4 linked regions of the Macaca mulatta genome follow. The protein of the gene in region 1 purifies or fractionates together with the protein of each later gene. This does not show direct contact. Links are inferred from orthologs where the notes say so. Each region holds a gene or a part of one and is shown on either strand. Other genes may lie near its edges.

What was found. Proteins that work in one complex are often made in the same cells at the same time.
Region 2: the proteins of SNAP23 (region 1) and VAMP3 purify together in Homo sapiens (affinity purification with western blotting; 6 studies listed by BioGRID and IntAct, with this or other methods). This does not show direct contact. The link is inferred for Macaca mulatta from reciprocal best matches to the Homo sapiens genes SNAP23 and VAMP3.
Region 3: the proteins of SNAP23 (region 1) and VAMP2 purify together in Homo sapiens (affinity purification with western blotting; 4 studies listed by BioGRID and IntAct, with this or other methods). This does not show direct contact. The link is inferred for Macaca mulatta from reciprocal best matches to the Homo sapiens genes SNAP23 and VAMP2.
Region 4: the proteins of SNAP23 (region 1) and VAMP8 purify together in Homo sapiens (affinity purification with western blotting; 3 studies listed by BioGRID and IntAct, with this or other methods). This does not show direct contact. The link is inferred for Macaca mulatta from reciprocal best matches to the Homo sapiens genes SNAP23 and VAMP8.

What each region holds. Positions count from the first base shown.
Region 1 is NC_133412.1:19,918,226-19,921,785, forward strand, and holds part of SNAP23 (synaptosomal-associated protein 23), read left to right. Parts: intron 1-333; 5' UTR 334-347; coding exon 348-404; intron 405-1,797; coding exon 1,798-1,839; intron 1,840-2,251; coding exon 2,252-2,300; intron 2,301-3,534; coding exon 3,535-3,560. UniProt on the Homo sapiens protein: Essential component of the high affinity receptor for the general membrane fusion machinery and an important regulator of transport vesicle docking and fusion.
Region 2 is NC_133406.1:233,019,383-233,023,611, reverse strand, and holds the start of VAMP3 (vesicle-associated membrane protein 3), read left to right. Parts: upstream 1-1,427; 5' UTR 1,428-1,490; coding exon 1,491-1,492; intron 1,493-3,555; coding exon 3,556-3,625; intron 3,626-4,229. UniProt on the Homo sapiens protein: SNARE involved in vesicular transport from the late endosomes to the trans-Golgi network.
Region 3 is NC_133421.1:9,677,678-9,681,903, reverse strand, and holds the start of VAMP2 (vesicle-associated membrane protein 2), read left to right. Parts: upstream 1-1,424; 5' UTR 1,425-1,525; coding exon 1,526-1,527; exon of another isoform or gene 1,528-1,960; coding exon of another isoform or gene 1,961-1,968; intron 1,969-2,042; coding exon 2,043-2,163; intron 2,164-2,646; coding exon 2,647-2,805; intron 2,806-2,888; coding exon 2,889-2,940; intron 2,941-3,548; coding exon 3,549-3,565; 3' UTR 3,566-4,226. UniProt on the Homo sapiens protein: Involved in the targeting and/or fusion of transport vesicles to their target membrane. Major SNARE protein of synaptic vesicles which mediates fusion of synaptic vesicles to release neurotransmitters.
Region 4 is NC_133418.1:38,814,535-38,818,640, reverse strand, and holds the start of VAMP8 (vesicle-associated membrane protein 8), read left to right. Parts: upstream 1-1,304; 5' UTR 1,305-1,320; coding exon 1,321-1,323; intron 1,324-2,684; coding exon 2,685-2,843; intron 2,844-4,106. UniProt on the Homo sapiens protein: SNAREs, soluble N-ethylmaleimide-sensitive factor-attachment protein receptors, are essential proteins for fusion of cellular membranes.

The DNA.
Region 1 (3,560 bases):
TTTTAATATAATAGTCTTTTAACGCTTGTCTTCCAGTAATGCCTTGGTTCTCAAAGTAAAGGATCCACTTTCCTGTTGGAAAGAGTACTTCCCTAGAAGTCCTAAAACCTGTATTTTAGGTTCACCCTTAGCACTCTTACTAAACATTCATTTAGCCTCTCTCGGTCTTGATTTCTTTACTTGTGGTAGACTAATAGATATAGAAAGAGGCTCTTTTATCCTGTTTTCCTGATAAGTTCCTAAATTCCATAAATCTACACTTTTTGCTCACACAAACTTTTATATATCCTTATTCTTATACAATATCCACATTTCCATTTCTGTGCCTAATAGAGTTTTGATTCATCATGGATAATCTGTCATCAGAAGAAATTCAACTGAGAGCTCACCAGATTACTGATGAGGTAAATGTTTTACCTAAAATAAGTAAATAATTCTATTTCAGTTTTCATATTGGAGGGGTGAGAGGGCCTTCTTAGGGACCATTTTGGCCTCTTCCTAGTCCATTAATATCAAAGAACACATTTGCCCCTTAGTGCCTTTGCTGGTTTTTATTTTCTTAAAGTGAAAACAATTTGTATGATTTTTATTTTTTAGGTACTTATTACTTAAGTGCAACAAAGATACTCTATTATGTATTTGAGAAATGCTAGACTTCTATTTAACAATTTCCTAATATCTGTAATTTACTTAGATTTCTACCTACATTAAATTTTTATGACTATAAAATTTTTATTCCCATGAACTTCACCATCCAAATATTCTCTCTTTTTTAAAAAAACTTTTCCTTTCAACATCACACTGGAAGTCCTTACACATTTTCTCTTAAGGAGCACTTGAAAATAACCGAAAATGTAGTGATCAACTTACTTTTTTTTTTTTTTTTTTGAGACAGAGTCTCACTCTATTGCCCAGGCTGCAGTGCAGTGATGTGATTTCGGCTCACTGCATCCTCTGCCTCCTGTGTTCATCAAGCGATTCTCCTGCCTCAGCTTCCTGGGTAGCTGGGATTACAGGCATGTGCCACCACGCCCAGCTAATTTTTGTAGTTTTAGTAGAGACGGGGTTTCACCATGTTGGGCATACTGGTCTCGAACTCCTGACCTCGTGATCCACCCACCTCAGCCTCCCAAAGTGCTGGGATTATAGGCATGAGCCACCACACCCGGCCATTGTTTTGTTTTGGTTTTTTTTGTTTGTTTGTTTGTTTTTGAGACGGAGTCTCGCTTCTGTCGCCCAGGCTGGAGTGCAGTGGCCTGATCTCAGCTCACTGCAAGCTCCGCCTCCCGGGTTCACGCCATTCTCCTGCCTCAGCCTCCCGAGTAGCTGGGACTACAGGCGCCCGCCACCTCGCCCGGCTAGTTTTTTGTAGTTTTAGTAGAGACGGGGTTTCACTGTGTTCACCAGGATGGTCTCGATCTCCTGACCTCGTGATCCACCCGTCTCGGCCTCCCAAAGTGCTGGGATTACAGGCTTGAGCCACCGCGCCCGGCCCATTGTTTTAAAGGAAGGGATAGGCTGGCAATTCTTTTTGTTTTTTCCTTTAATGGAGACAGTCTCTCCGTTGGGCTATGTTGCCTGGGCTGGTCTTGGACTCTGGTACTCAAGAAATCCCCCTGCCTCAGCCTCCCAAAGTGCTGGGATTGTAGGCATGAGCCACTGTGCCCAGCCTGAGCTGGCCATTTTTAAAGATAGAATAGCATCATGAATGTGGCCTGTGATCGGATGGTTTTTTTGTTTTGTTTTGTTTTGTTTTTTACATATTTTGGAATGCTAAAACTCTGTGTTTTTTCCTAGTCTCTGGAAAGTACGAGGAGAATCCTGGGTTTAGCCATTGAGGTAAGAAAATGTTAGTCACCAACTTAAGTATAAAAATTTATAGGAGATATCCTAATACTTCTGGCTGGAATTAGTGTTAAAGGGTAATGTATCAATATGCTTTATTATTTGAAATTAACAGTTGCTGAAATTGTCAAATTATGCACTAATGGGCCTTTTTTGTTTTTCCCTTTGACAGTATTGGAATATGACAGGGAAGATGAATTCACTATGAGTTTGTGACTTAATTATTTTGGGGGGCTACTATGTTAAAGTGTGTTTAAGAATACTAGTTCTGTCTGTAGCTCTAATCCTCTGAGAGCTTGGGTTTCTAAATTATTCTGTCTTGCTATTTGACAGCTCTTGTAGGTTTTGTTTCTGTTGTTTTTGGTTTGTTTTGTTTTACTATCAGCCTTTTTCCCACTTCTTTTAGTCTCAGGATGCAGGAATCAAGACCATCACTATGCTGGATGAACAAGGGGGTGAGTTAAATTATTAGCAGAAATTCTTAATTTGACCATGATGCCAAAAAGCCCTATCAGATTAGCCACATACAAATTTCAGCCTTTGGGAGGGCCTTCCCTTTGTAAAGTAAGAATAATATGTTTACTTCTTGTCTTCTGGTTTGAATAATGTCATGTTCACTGTCTATTTGGGATGGCAGGCAACAATGCCCAACTGTGTATATACCGAGTATGTGTTAGACCAGCATGGCTAACACATTAGACATTATGATAGTAATGTAGCTGGGATTACAGGTACCCACCACCACACCCAGCTAATTTTTTGTATTTTCAGTAGAGACAGGTTTCACTGTGTTGGCCAGGTTGATCTCAAAGTCTTGACCTCAAGTGATCCGTCCACCTTGGCCTCCCGAAGTGCTGGGATTATAAGCATGAGCCACCATGTCTGGGCAGACATTGTGATATTCTTACATCATCCTCAAATCAAGTTAAGTCCTAAAACAGATCTAGATTCAGGTGTGCTTGGAAGCACTTGAGTTGGCCCTGATTAATCAGGTCTAGTTTTTATTACTCCTATAACAGCCCTCAGGTTTTGAACCTCATAGAAATGATGGGGATTTGACCTGGTCAGAGTACCCTTAACTTGGTTGTAAGGATGATCTCTAAATAACCATCCCTTGGTCCTACTATACAAGATTCTTTTATTTTTTATTTTTATTTTATTTTATTTTATTTTGAGGGGAATCCCACTCTGTCATCTAGGCTGGAGTTCAGTGGTGCAATTGCATCTCACTGCAACCTCCAGCTGCCAGGTTCAAGTGATTCTCCTGCCTCAGCCTCCCAGGTAGCTGGGATTACAGGCACCCATCATCACACCCAGCTAATTTTTGTATTTTTAGTAGAGATGGGGTTTCATCATGTTGACCAGGCTGGTCTTGAACTCCTGACCTCAGGTGATCCGCCCACCTCGGCCTCCCAAAGTGCTGGGATCACAGGCATGAGCCACCATACCCAGCCATATACAAACTTCTTAGAACAAATTTTTCCACAGCAAGAGGCTAGGTGCCTCAGGATCAGTACGTGAAAGATTGTTATCATGTTGAATAGCTTCTAATACCTTTTGACACTGACTTATTCACTGTGGGGAGTTATTGGTAGATTCAAGGTTGAAGTTGACTGCTCCATAATAATAGCATTTTCTGGTTGACACTGTGAATGGAACACAAAATGTAACTTTACAACTTATTCTTAGAACAACTAAACCGCATAGAAGAAGGC
Region 2 (4,229 bases), on another chromosome or scaffold:
GCGCCTCTCAACATATCAATCATTTGTGTAAGGCAGTGCAGTTATTTGAAAGATAGACACTAATTTAATTCACCTTTTCAGTTACAATCCTCTGAAAGTCTTCTAAAAGGCATTTTCCAGCGATGACGAACGTCCTCCTTTCTGAGTATTGTGTCATCGCTGCTCCATTCCCTTTCACTGCAGAGCCTCTCCTTATCTCCCTAGTGCTCCCTCTTCCATCTGATCCATCTGGCCGCTACTGCCAGAGAAATTGTGCAGCACGGATCTCCCAAGTCCGTGAGTCAATGGTTTCCAGGGCCCACTACAATCAAATGACATTTTTCTTGTTTACCCTCTTTATTCAGTCTTCTTTTCACTTGTACCCAACCTGCACCCTGTAGGTGGTCTGTGCACACTGCGTCCATTTTCACTGCTGTCTTTGTTCATGGTGTTTGTCCAACCCTTACTGGAAAGTTCTTTTCTGCTAGTACCCAGCTCAAATCCCACCGCCTTTGTGACAGTCTCGTTTATTCGAATATATACGAATGTTTCCCTTTTCGAAGTATTCTATTTAGAGTTGGAAAAAACAGCATAGTATTTAAGTACTGTATTTTTCACTTCTCATTTAAGAGACCCACCAATGACCAAACACCTATAGTGTTTTATTTTTTGATGTCGGTAACTGTGTTGGTAGGAATATTTCAGTGACAAATATATACAAGGTAACTCACTGCGTTCAGATTTGTGCTTCCCTCCCTTCGACCAAAACCTGAGGACCTATTCTGTGTTAGGGCCTAAAAATACAGAAATGAAGGAACTACAGTCTTGATGCTAAGGCTCTCGTAAGCAGATTATAATATGATCTGCAGGGACAAATATTTGTGTTACCGAGGAAAACATGAGCGGGAACCTAACCCAACCCCATGTGACAAATACCTGAAATGGACTTCCTATTTCAACTACTTTCTCAGAGAAACATGGTGCCCTCGGGATCACTAGGTTAATCTGGAACATTCAGCAGAAGCCAATCATCTGTCTCTAATACTGTTAGAGAGAAATGGTCCCGAGCCCAGAATAACATGAGTTGCGCCCACCCTCACTTATCCACACAGTCCCCAGCCAGTGCCTAATGCGCCACGTTTGCAGACCACGTCCCCAAGCGCCAGCGCGGGCCGCGGTGCAGAGAGGAAGCTGTATTGACCTGCACTCTGCGTTTCAGAGCCCGGACCGCCCTGGGACCCCTGTGGCCCTCAAGTTCCCAAGTGACCTAGTCCAGGGAGTGGACATCTCGCTCTGACCCCGCCCTGGACGAGCCCGCCACGACGCGCCCGCCCACGACGCCCCCGCCCACTTCCGGCGCGCCCCCTCTGCGCCCCGCCCACTCCCGCCGGCCCTGCCTAGTGACGTCTTTGCCCGGAGTCGCGCCGTTCCGCCCATCTCCTTGGCCTCCGGTCCCTACTTCGCTGCTCTGCTGACCCTCGCTCGCCGCCGCCGCCGCCGCCGCTGCCAAAATGTGAGTGACGCTGCGCGACGCGGGCGGCTTCGGGCCCCGCAGGCGGCAGCTCGCGCTGGGATCGCCGTACCGCCCAGTTGCCGCCGGCCGCCGCTCGGACGCAGGCCGGGGCTGCGCGGGGATCCCGAGGCCTGGGGGTGGGCGGTAGCCCTTGGGGCGCGGGCTGCAGACGGGCCGGGCGGGTTCCGCTGCCATGGGGCGGACGCGGAAGGGGCGAGGGCGGGGCGGCGAGGCGCTTCCCGGAGGAAGTGAGTTGCCCGCCCGCACCCCGCTCCTCGCCCCTTCCCGTTCTAGTCCCAGAGGTCCCGGAGAGGAACGGGGACGACTGCCCTGGTTCGGGAGGGCCGGCTCTCGGCCCAGTTGGGCCCCGGAAGTTGCAAAAGAAAGGACCTCGGCCCTGTGCTGAGCCACTGTGGGCCCAAGAGCTCCTTGCCTGGCTAGGGGCATCTGCACTGGAAAGATCACTTAACCGTGGGCCTTCGCACTCTTAAGCGAAAGCGCTCTTGTGGCCCTTGCAAACCGGTGCTTCCAGTGGTAACGCTCAGAGAATGTTCATGGTTAAGAATCACAAGGACCCTCTCTTCCACCTCCATTCTGTTCATTGCTCACCGTCGGAGGAAGCCCCGGGTTTCTTCCAGGAGTTGGGGACCCCCCCTCGAATGTTCCTGCTGAGGCTGCTGTGTCAATAGATCACAGTGGTTAAGATCTAGATCCCAGGTACACAGGACCTGATCTAAAAACAATCTGAACGGCAGCCAGCTGTGTTGACTTTTTAAACCTCACTTTACTCATCTGTAAAATGGGAGTAATATTCCCCTCAGAGAGTTATGAGAGTTGAAGGAGAAAATGCATGAAAAGAGTCTAGCACCACGGCATGGTCCTTACTTATCTACCAGACACTAAACTCTGTGAGGACGGCGATGAGATCTGTTGTAGCCCTGGTCATTGACACATGACAGATGTAAAGTGACTGTTCAAACAGTCCATCAGACTGTTGTATACTAAGGTACATGCTAGGTGCTATCTAGGATACAGAGAAGAGAGTAAGAAGACCCAGGAACCTGTAATCTATTCGAGGAGGCAGGACTTTATACCTGAAAAACCAAAGTGATACTTTCCAAGTAATGGAGCCAATAATGACTTCAGAGTCAGAGTGGTTAAGAAGGATCTGCATGAGGAGAAATAAAGCCTTTGATGAAGATTTTAAAAGATGAGTACCTTCCCGGGGCGGGCGCGCTGGCTCATGCCTGTAATCCCAGCACTTTGGGAGGCCGAGGCAGATGGATCACCTGAGGTCAGGAGTTCAAGACCAGCTTGACCAACATGGTGAAACCCCGTCTCTACTAAAAATACAAAATTAGCCGGGCGTGGTGGTGCATGCCTGTAATCCCAGCTACTTGGGAGACTGAGGCAAGAGAATTGCTTGAACCCAGGAAGCGGAGGTTGCAGTGAGCCGAGATCACACCATTGCACTCCAGCCTGGGCAACAGGAGGGAAACTCCGTCTCTCAAAAGAGGAAAAAAAAAAAAAAAAGAGTACCTTCCTAAAAGGGGAAGCATTGCTTCAACACACCTTTCCACTCACACCAACCGCTCCCTGCATCCCAGTGTTCCTGACTCTGTTTCTGTAAATTAATCTATTTTTCTATATTGGAAAAAGGGCATTCTATAACTGTTTATAACTATGAAAACAGTTCCTGCCACAATGAAAAGATCAGGAGAGTACTGAGTACGTTCAAGCAGATGTGTGCCTTAGAACAAGTTTCAAAAAAGGACAGTAGAGTTTACCTGTCGTGGGATCAGATACTTCAGGGATACAAAGTAGGTCCTATTAAACCTTCACGTTTGTCCCTTTAGTAGGTGGGACAGTCTTGGAAATTATAGAGAAATTAGAAGAAATGTAATTAAAACTTTTGTTCATTGCTTCAGGAAGAATTTCTTTTTCTGCTTTAGTTCTAATGTAAGAAATTGTTAACAGTGAGAGTCCCGGAGTAACTTCTTTATACTTAAGAAAATGTATTTGGAATCATAATTTACTCATGCTCCTGCCTTTACATGTTCCAGGTCTACAGGTCCAACTGCTGCCCCTGGCAGTAATCGAAGACTTCAGCAGACACAAAATCAAGTAGATGAGGTATTGCTCTGAAATGTTGGAAATATGAATTTTAAACAAGTATGAGCACTCTGGAAATCTGTTTAGAAAAAGTATCATGAAAGTGTGAATGTAAAGCAAATTCTGACTGTATCATAATTGTAACAAAACTTTGCTCCCTGCTGTGCTGGAAGATCTAAGCAAAAGTCAGACTTTCTAGGTTTCATGCTTGTTTTCCTGTGGTAGAATCACATACCTGCTCATAACATTTAGCTCAGGAAAAATAAAAAATCATATGCTTAAAACATGAACACCACTCCCTGAGTGTATTCCCCAAGAACCACTTTATAAAATAGGATAATACAATGTTAGGATTAGGTCTTTAGATTGCTCAAGCCAAGACCAGTTCTTCTGATCAGATTTTTTATCAAAATGCTTTGTCCACTTACTAGTTATCCAGCCTGAGCAAGCCTCTCTGTAGAATTCATCTCTAATGGCTGTCCACTGACTCACACAAAGTAGATACTGTCAAACTCCATTAGCCCAGCAAATCTCTATTTGTAGAATTCTTGAGCTAGAGGACCTTCATCTTTTGTTCTGCACTGTATGTGGAGAACCACAGCAAAAGATTGAGAAATTCAGACTA
Region 3 (4,226 bases), on another chromosome or scaffold:
TGGGGGAGTATCTCACACCCGGAGGCCCTGGGAAGCCAGGGTGGGGGAGGGACGAAGCTGGTTCCTGTTTGTCTCAGAGATCAAGGCCATCAGCCTCCCTGCACCTTCCAGGGATGTAGTAAGCACCCCCACCCCAGGTTCAAAGGGCCTCGCCTAAAATGCCTCCTGTACCCTTGAGGCTTGCTTTGATCCCCTGCACTCCACCAGAGCGACAGCTCCCCTGGTCCCATCTTCTCTGACAAGCTGGGTGGGAGTGTACACAGCCTCTGGGTGTGCTTAGAGGGCCTAATGGAGATAGGGATAATCTTCCATGTTATCCACATCAAGCCATTTAACGAATATGGATTTAGTATCTACATATGCAATGTATTTGGGGTCCAGAGAGAGGAGGGCAACTGTCCAAGGTCACACCTGCGAGGCGAATACGCATGTAAAGCAGCACCTTGTAAACTGTACCCACTGTGCCTACTACTAAAGAAAAAAAAATGAGAGAGAAAAAAGCCTTTTGGTCCCTGTGCCTGGGACCAAAGCCTGAGCCCTCTCCTGCAGTTGGGGTCGCTGACCCAAGCCTGGGGCAAAGCTAGGTCTTGGCCAGTCAGCAGCCACCACGTGAAGCAGCCCCTGCCCCCATCAGCCCCGGCTGCCTTGTGCCCTCCTCCTCGGGGTCTTCAGCTCACCCCACCTCAGTCGGGCCTGCTCCAGCTGTTAAGTACCCCTGGTCTGAACCTCAATCGTGAGGCGGGGCACCCCCCTCCTCACACCCTGTAGACACTCCCCGGTCCTCCACCCCCTGGACTTGTTTCGGCGGGAAGAGCCTGCCTCATCTTTTCTTCCCACCCTCCTACCCAGTGGCCTGGGATCGCAGGCTTCCTCTGAGACATCCACCAGCGGGGTGATGGGTTGAGACCAACCTCCTCCACTCCCCTCCACCCTAGCAGCAGGGTCCCCGCTCTCGATATTGCCCCAGCGCCTGTACTGACCCTCTCTGATTTCCCAACCCCAGCCCATTCCCAGTGCTGAAGGCGGGTCGCTAGGTGCTGGGACCTGGGCGCGGGGCGAGACCTTGGGCTGTGTGGGATGCAGGCTGGCTTATTGGGTTCACGATTCAGGGAGTGGTCTGGGGGTTAGGTGCGGGGCCAGGCTGCTGTGTGCCCTAAGGGGCAGGTGGCAAGAGGTTTGGGGGCGGCTGTGGAAGGCTGTGCTCAGACAGGGCGGGGTGACGGTGGGTTTAGGGAAGCCGCAGCAACCCGCCTGGTGGTCCCGTGAGTGCCCAGAGAGCTGCCGGGGCACGGTGGCGCCAGACCCGCAGTCCCGCCCGGCACGACCCCAGTCCCGCAGCGCCCCGCCCCCGCGGCCCCGCTCCCGACGCGTCGCCCGCGGCGCCCCGCCCCCGCCCGCAGTGCCCGGATGCGGGTGACGCGCGGCCGCCATCTTTCCGTCCCGGGCAGCCAGCGCCAGTCGGAGCCAGCGCGAGTCGCCGCCGCCATCACTGCTGCTGCCAAGTCCTCCACCCGCTGCCCCCGCCATGTGAGTCGGCCGCCCGCCACCCTCACCGCGCTTCCCTGCACCGGCCGCCGCCCTTGGCAACCGGCCGTGGGGAGTGCCCGGGGTCTCTCCCGCGTTCCCCGCGCCCCGGGGCCAGGCCCAAGCCGGTGACTGCGCGCGGGCGGCCGAGAAGCCCAGCGTCTCGGGCTGGCCGGCTCGAGCGATGGCCGCGGGAAGGAGCGGACCCTGTGTCCTCCTGCCGCGCCCCGCCCCTGTCACCGCGGCCGCCTGTCTTTTCGGGTCGACCCCGATCACATCTGTGAGGTCGCCCTCATTTGACAGGCGGGGAAACTGAGGCCGGGGGGAGGGGAGGCCTCGCTCAAGGTCACGCAGCTCATCGGTGGCGAGGCTGGACCTGGACCAGGGCTTCCATCGGGTGGCCTTCCTCCCGAAAAGGAGGACTGGAGGGACGAGGATGGACAGGTGGATGGGCGGAGCCCTGGCTGCAGGGCCGGGAGACTGCAGGCCCTGGGTCTTAATCCGTCCCTGCTCCTCAGGTCTGCTACCGCTGCCACGGCCCCCCCTGCCGCCCCGGCTGGGGAGGGTGGCCCCCCTGCACCCCCTCCAAACCTCACCAGTAACAGGAGACTGCAGCAGACCCAGGCCCAGGTGGATGAGGTGAGTGTGGGGGGAGTCAAAAGCAGTAGAAAGGACCCTGGGGGTTGGCGTTTAGGTGTAGGGGCCCATGTTGGTTTGGGAGTGATGACAGTTCACGCCTGTGGGTTTGCGGACAAAGATACTTTGCCCCATCCGTGTCTCCCTGTCAGCACGCACTTGGAAGGGTGCTGGGGGTGTTAATCAGCTTTGCTAGCCTGGGGTGTGCCAGCCTAGGCAGGTGTGCTCTGGTGATGGACAGAGCGCCTGAGGCGCCATAGAGGGAGGGTGTTGCTATGATATCTGAGATGTCACCAGCAATCCCCTGATGTGTGCTCCTTGCATGTCCCCAGGTGTGCTAGGCATGTACTGTGTGTGTCCTTGGCATGTTAACCTGGCAGCATCAGGGTGCATGTTCCATGTGTGGCACGGTGGGCACATGTTTGAGGATTGCCCTCATGAGGTGGGCCTTGGCACACCCCCTTGCCCCGTGGGCCCTTCTCCCAGGTGGTGGACATCATGAGGGTGAACGTGGACAAGGTCCTGGAGCGGGACCAGAAGCTGTCGGAGCTGGACGACCGTGCAGATGCACTCCAGGCAGGGGCCTCCCAGTTTGAAACAAGTGCAGCCAAGCTCAAGCGCAAATACTGGTGGAAAAACCTCAAGGTAAGGATGGGGACAGGAAGGAGGACTGGCAGGTGAATGGGGTATCATAGTTAGTCTCGCTGATCCTCTCCTCTCACCCCCAGATGATGATCATCTTGGGAGTGATTTGCGCCATCATCCTCATCATCATCATAGGTGAGTAGGCTGGGAATGGCCGGGGCCCTTTCCCTGGAGAGGTTTCCCCAGTGGATTCTGGGTTTTGAAGGTCATTAACCTAGTTTTTACTCTTCAGCCAAAAACACATATAGCTGCTAATGGCAATTCTGATTCACCTAGAGCCAAAAACTTTGATGTTATTTAGCCTGCATTTTGCCTGGTTCTTGGCAGTTTTGTTAACATTTAGAAATATAAAAGTTGGTGTATCCATTGAGGACCCTTTGGGCCTAAGAGCCCAATCTGAGAGCCCTGGAATTGAGGAGTGGGAGAAAGGAAAGGCCCAGGGGCTTGAGACATGACCAGGAAGCCAACCACCCCATTATTTGAGAGCTTGTGGCCTCAGGCTCAGAGGATTAGGGTATGTGGCCTCAAGGCCATACCATGGAACTGAAGGGACCTCATAACCTACCTGTCTAACCCCTTGCTTTGTAGATGGAGAAACTGAGTCCAAGAGAGGGGTAGGGGTGCCAGCCAGCTGGGGAGTGGGGAGGATTGGAGCAGGGCCAGGCCTGACACACTGCTTTCTTTCTTTCTCCCTCTCTCTCTCCCCTCTCCCTCTTCCTCATCTTCTTCCCCTCTCTCCACAGTTTACTTCAGCACTTAAATCCCTGAGGAGTCTGCCCTGCCTAAAGAAGGGCCTCTCCCCCCACCCTCAGCCGTTCCTCCACCTCTCAGCCATATCTTTCAGCCCCCCTTCCCTGGATCCGTGCGTGTGTGTGTCCGTGTGTGTGTCCCCCTGTAAATAGCCAGCTGTTATTTATACATATATAATATTATATATATTTGGTCTGTTTGTAGTTTTATTACTAGAAGATTTTTCTGGTTGTCCTTAACACCCCTTCCTGAGGTTCCCTTCACCTCCTCTCTCTTGCCTGCCTTCCCTTTCCCTTTCTTCCTGACTAGCCCCAAGTCCCTTCATTTGCATCTGCTATGCAATAGTCCCTCTCCTCTCCTTCTTCTTCCCTCAGATTTAGCTGATCCTTCCCCCCACCCTGGCCTTCCTTTCCTCCTCCCTCTCCCGGTCATGCTCCCTCTGCCCCGCCCTCAAAAAAGACCACAAAAAACAAAAAGCATCTGTCCAGGCTTCCTTAGGTGCATCTTGTTTGCATCCAATGGGAGGCTCTGAGACTGGCCCCACTTGGTCCTAAGAATCCCAAGGTCTTTGGGAGTGTCCAGCATGTTAAGTAGCGTATCATTACATACTGCCATCCCTTTCCATTTCTTTTTGTTCCATCACTCTTCTCTCAACTGGTGTTTCTTTTTTT
Region 4 (4,106 bases), on another chromosome or scaffold:
GAAGAACAGATTTGCTCCGGCCTGGAGCCAGGTTAGTGGAAAAGTCCTTTGCCTTGGGCCCCTGCTCTGGTATACCAGGGCAGTCTTCTGATCACTGATCACTGACTGGGATCAATTACCTCTGTGGTGGTCCCTGAAGGGAAATGCAGAATTGCTGAACTCTGGAAGGGAAGGAGGGGTTTGGTGAGCCCTCATTACAGACACTGTGCTAGTGGCAGTGCACTGCACACGCTATCTTTTTTTTTTTTTTTGAGACAGAGTCTTGCTCTTGTTGCCCAGGCTGGAGTGCAATGGCATAGTCTTAGCTCACTGCAATCTCTGTCTCCCAGGTTCAAGCGATTCTCCCGCCTCAGCCTCCTGAGTAGCTGGGATTACAGGCACCTGCCACCATGCCTGGCTAATTATTTTGTATTTTTAGTAGAGACGGGGTTTTGCCATGTTGGCCAGGCTGGTCTCGAACTCCTGACCTCAAGTGATCTGCCTGCCTTGGCCTCCCAAAGTACTGGGATTACAGGCGTGAGCTACCATGCCCAGCCTCTTTTTGCTTCTTACCAGCACTGTCTGAGCTAAGCATCAGCACCTGCAAACTCCACAGAGGTGAAAAGGTTCACTCAGGGGCCTGTAACTAGTAACCCAGAGCTTTCTGAATCAGAGCCCAGGATCACAGTATTCCAGACTTCAGGGGTTTTAGTGCTTTCTGTCACTGAGGGACCTGAGAACAAGTGTTATCCAGCAAGAAATTTTCATAACTGCATTTTGTTTCCCTGTGAGCCAGGCCTGGCATGGTTGATCTCTGTCTCTAGAAACTGGAGTCAGATATTCAAGACATTAAAAGGAGATGGCTGGTGGGGCGTCATGGCTCCTAGGACTTTGGGAGGTTGAGGTGGAAGGATTGTCTGAGCCCAGGAGTTTGAGACCAGCCTGGGCAACATGGTGAGACCTCATCTCTATTTAAAAAAAAAAAAAAAAGAGAGAGAGAGAGATGGCTGCCCTTTTTAGATCAGGAGGTCCAGCCTCAGGAAACCTTGGAGGGCTGCTTGATCTTTCTTTTCTAATTCCTGAAAAGTTAGAAGACCTTTAACATCTGAGAGCCCTATTACTCTAAGCTTAAGCTCTTGTTTGGGAAGCCACTGGGTGGACAGTGAAGAGTGCCCGCCTACCTGGGGAAACCTGAGTTAGGTGTGGCTGGAGCGACTCGAGATGCGAGGTGGGCGGGGGCAGGCTGAAAGCTGGAGCAAGCAGGAAGTGAGCTGACGGCCACCCTGGGAGGAAGCCGACTAGGCGAATTCACCTGCTGATCGGCCTGGGCTGCTCTGAGACATGGTGAGCGAACTGGAAACTAGGAAAGGGCTGATTTAAAGAGGAGCCAGAAGGGGCTCGGGACTGGGGGTTGGCTGTGTGGGGGGAGGAGAGTTGGCGGCAAAGTTAGAGGGCTGGGCCAGTGCTGCCTGTGGCCTCTCCTCTTTGACAACTTGGCTGCAAATAGCTCTGAACCGTCCTAGCAGGTGTTTCTATTCCTTCTTCCTCCCTCCCCTGACCTCTGTGCTGGTGGGGAGCTGGGCTTCCGTGCCAGTGCCAATGGGGGCTCCGAATTCCAGGCAAAGTGTTGTTGTGCCTTCCTCCTCCAGGGAGCCCGAGGCGGGTGTTGTGACACCACCAGGCAGTGCCTGGGCAGTTTCCAGTTCAGATTCCAGCCCAGCGGCAGGAGCTCTCCTCTCTGGCCTTTCACTTTATCCCTACACAGAAACACAAAGGATTTGTGTGTCCACTGAGTCCTTTGGGTGTCCTTTCTCCATTAACATGAAGAAGAGAACTAAGGGTTTATAAGATAACCAGAAGTTGGTTCTCTGTGATAAGCTAGTTCTGACCCATGCCACTGGCCTGTTTTTGGAGGTCAAGGAGGGAGGAGCTTAATAATATTTTTCTCTCCTTGTTCAAAAACCTTGTCATGAAGCCTCTGAGATGAGACATCAGCCAGGGAGGACTAGTCCTCCATTTCCCCCAACACCCAGGCGGGTATTTTTATTTAATGTCTGCATAAGCAGGTGGTTGCTTGGTGCCTGCGCGTGGTGCCCAGTGGTAGGGAAAGCAGAAGTGTGTGGCTCAACGGCTGTGGGCGCCTTCTGGGGTACTTGGTTGCCTGTTGTTCTGGGTCACAGCAGCAATGGCATTGCGGCCAGGGCCATGCTCCAGCAGGTATTTAGAGGGGCAGATGGGTGAGGCTGGGTGAGGGTGTTTTGCTGGCCAGCACAGACACTTTCAATGAGGATCCCGAGAAATCAGGAAAGGGGGGTGGCTCCGGGAATTGTAAATAGTGGTGGGCTCTGCCCTGGAAAGGGAACATTGTGAGATGCTGGCTCTGCTGTATTCTACGGCCTTCTCTAGGGAGCAAGGAAGCAGCGGGGAGGGATTTAGTGATGCGCTGCTTTTCCTTGTCAGGGGTCCTAACAATCCCGAAAGAAGTTTGATCTAGTCTCTTTAGCATCACGTCTTACCTTCTGAGGCTTACAAATGCATTTATTTTTGATTACACAAGTAATACATGAAAACATTCTCTTTGTAAACATTTCAAGCATTTTACAAAAAGCTGAAGTCTGCCTGAGGCCTTACCCTCCCCAGGCCTCTGAGGCCAAGTCTCCAGTTCCCCCACCACTTGGTCTAATTAACCCCGTGTTGCTGTGCAGGAGGAAGCCAGTGAAGGTGGAGGAAATGATCGCGTGCGGAACCTGCAGAGTGAGGTGGAGGGAGTTAAGAATATTATGACCCAGAATGTGGAGCGGATCCTGGCCCGAGGGGAAAACTTGGAACATCTCCGCAACAAGACAGAGGATCTGGAAGCCACAGTGAGACAGGGAGCCCACTGGAGGCTGGAGGAAAAGAGGAAGGGAGGGAATTTCTTTTTGGTGGGGCAAAATGAACAGGAGGGTCAGAAGTGTAACATTTCTGTTGCCTTTCACCTGGTTTGGGAGCTGATGTGAGCTGAGTCTCCACTTCTGAATCTGCTCTGCTCCACAGATTGTTATGGATCCCAGGGAATGGATCCCATGACTGGGGCTTGAGGTGGCAGCTCACCCATAGAGGCATATTCTGAGACTGATAGCTCAGTCAGCCCATGCATTCTCAGGCTTCTCTCCCGGGAAACTTGTTTTCCCTTTGAAGCCTGCCCATGACAATCATTTGGATCTGACCTTCCCAGGGCAGAAGTATTGGCTTTGAGGAAACCCCCCCACCGTGGCCTCTAGCCTTCTCTAGGAGCTATTAGACAAGGGGTGGGAAATTGCTGGCATCTTGCTGAGTTGGCTTTAAAAAGAAGGAGGAAAGAGCAGAGAAATGCTTTGATCCCAGGGTCCCCTGCTAGATGAAGGCTAAAATAATATCTCCCACACATCTTGCTAGACTTCATTCTTCTCTCTCTCCAGCCAGGGGCTGCGGCCAGCTGTTTCAGGGAGGAAGTAACTCCAAAGTTGAGCAAAGTCTGGAGCCTCAGGTTTTGTGTCCAGCTGGGAAGCTGGCTCTGGCTTTCTTAGTCCTGTGTGAACTCTTGGCTCTTGGGTATTGCTCCCTTGTCTCCCTGGGGCTCATTGCCTGTTTCTGTAGCTTAATTGTAGCTTAATTTGGGGAGCATGGCCCCGGGAATTTTTTTTTTTTTTTTAATAGAGCCTCACTCTGTTGCCCAGGCTAGAGTGGTGCAATCTCGGCTCACTTCAACCTTCGCCTCCTGGGTTCAAATGATTCTCTTGCCTCAGCCTCCTGAGTAGCTGGGATTACAGTGTGCACCACCACACCTGGCTAATTTTTGTATTTTCAGTAGAGACGAAGTTTTGCCATGTTGGCCAGGCTGGTCTCGAACTCCTGACCTCAGGTGATCCACCCACCTTGGCCTCTCAAAGTGCTGGGATTACAGACTTGAGTCACCATGCCTGGACAAGCACTAGGAAATTTAGTGTCTATAACTCGAATTGCTGGGCATGGGGAAGAGTGCATGGAGGAGGAGGAGTTCCCTTACTTCCAACCCTCTGTACTGTCCTGGTCCCTCCTCCAGCCTCAGCAGTCCCGATGGGGCAAGGAGTCCTGTAGCTGGGAGATGTGCCCACCTGGAGCCTGCA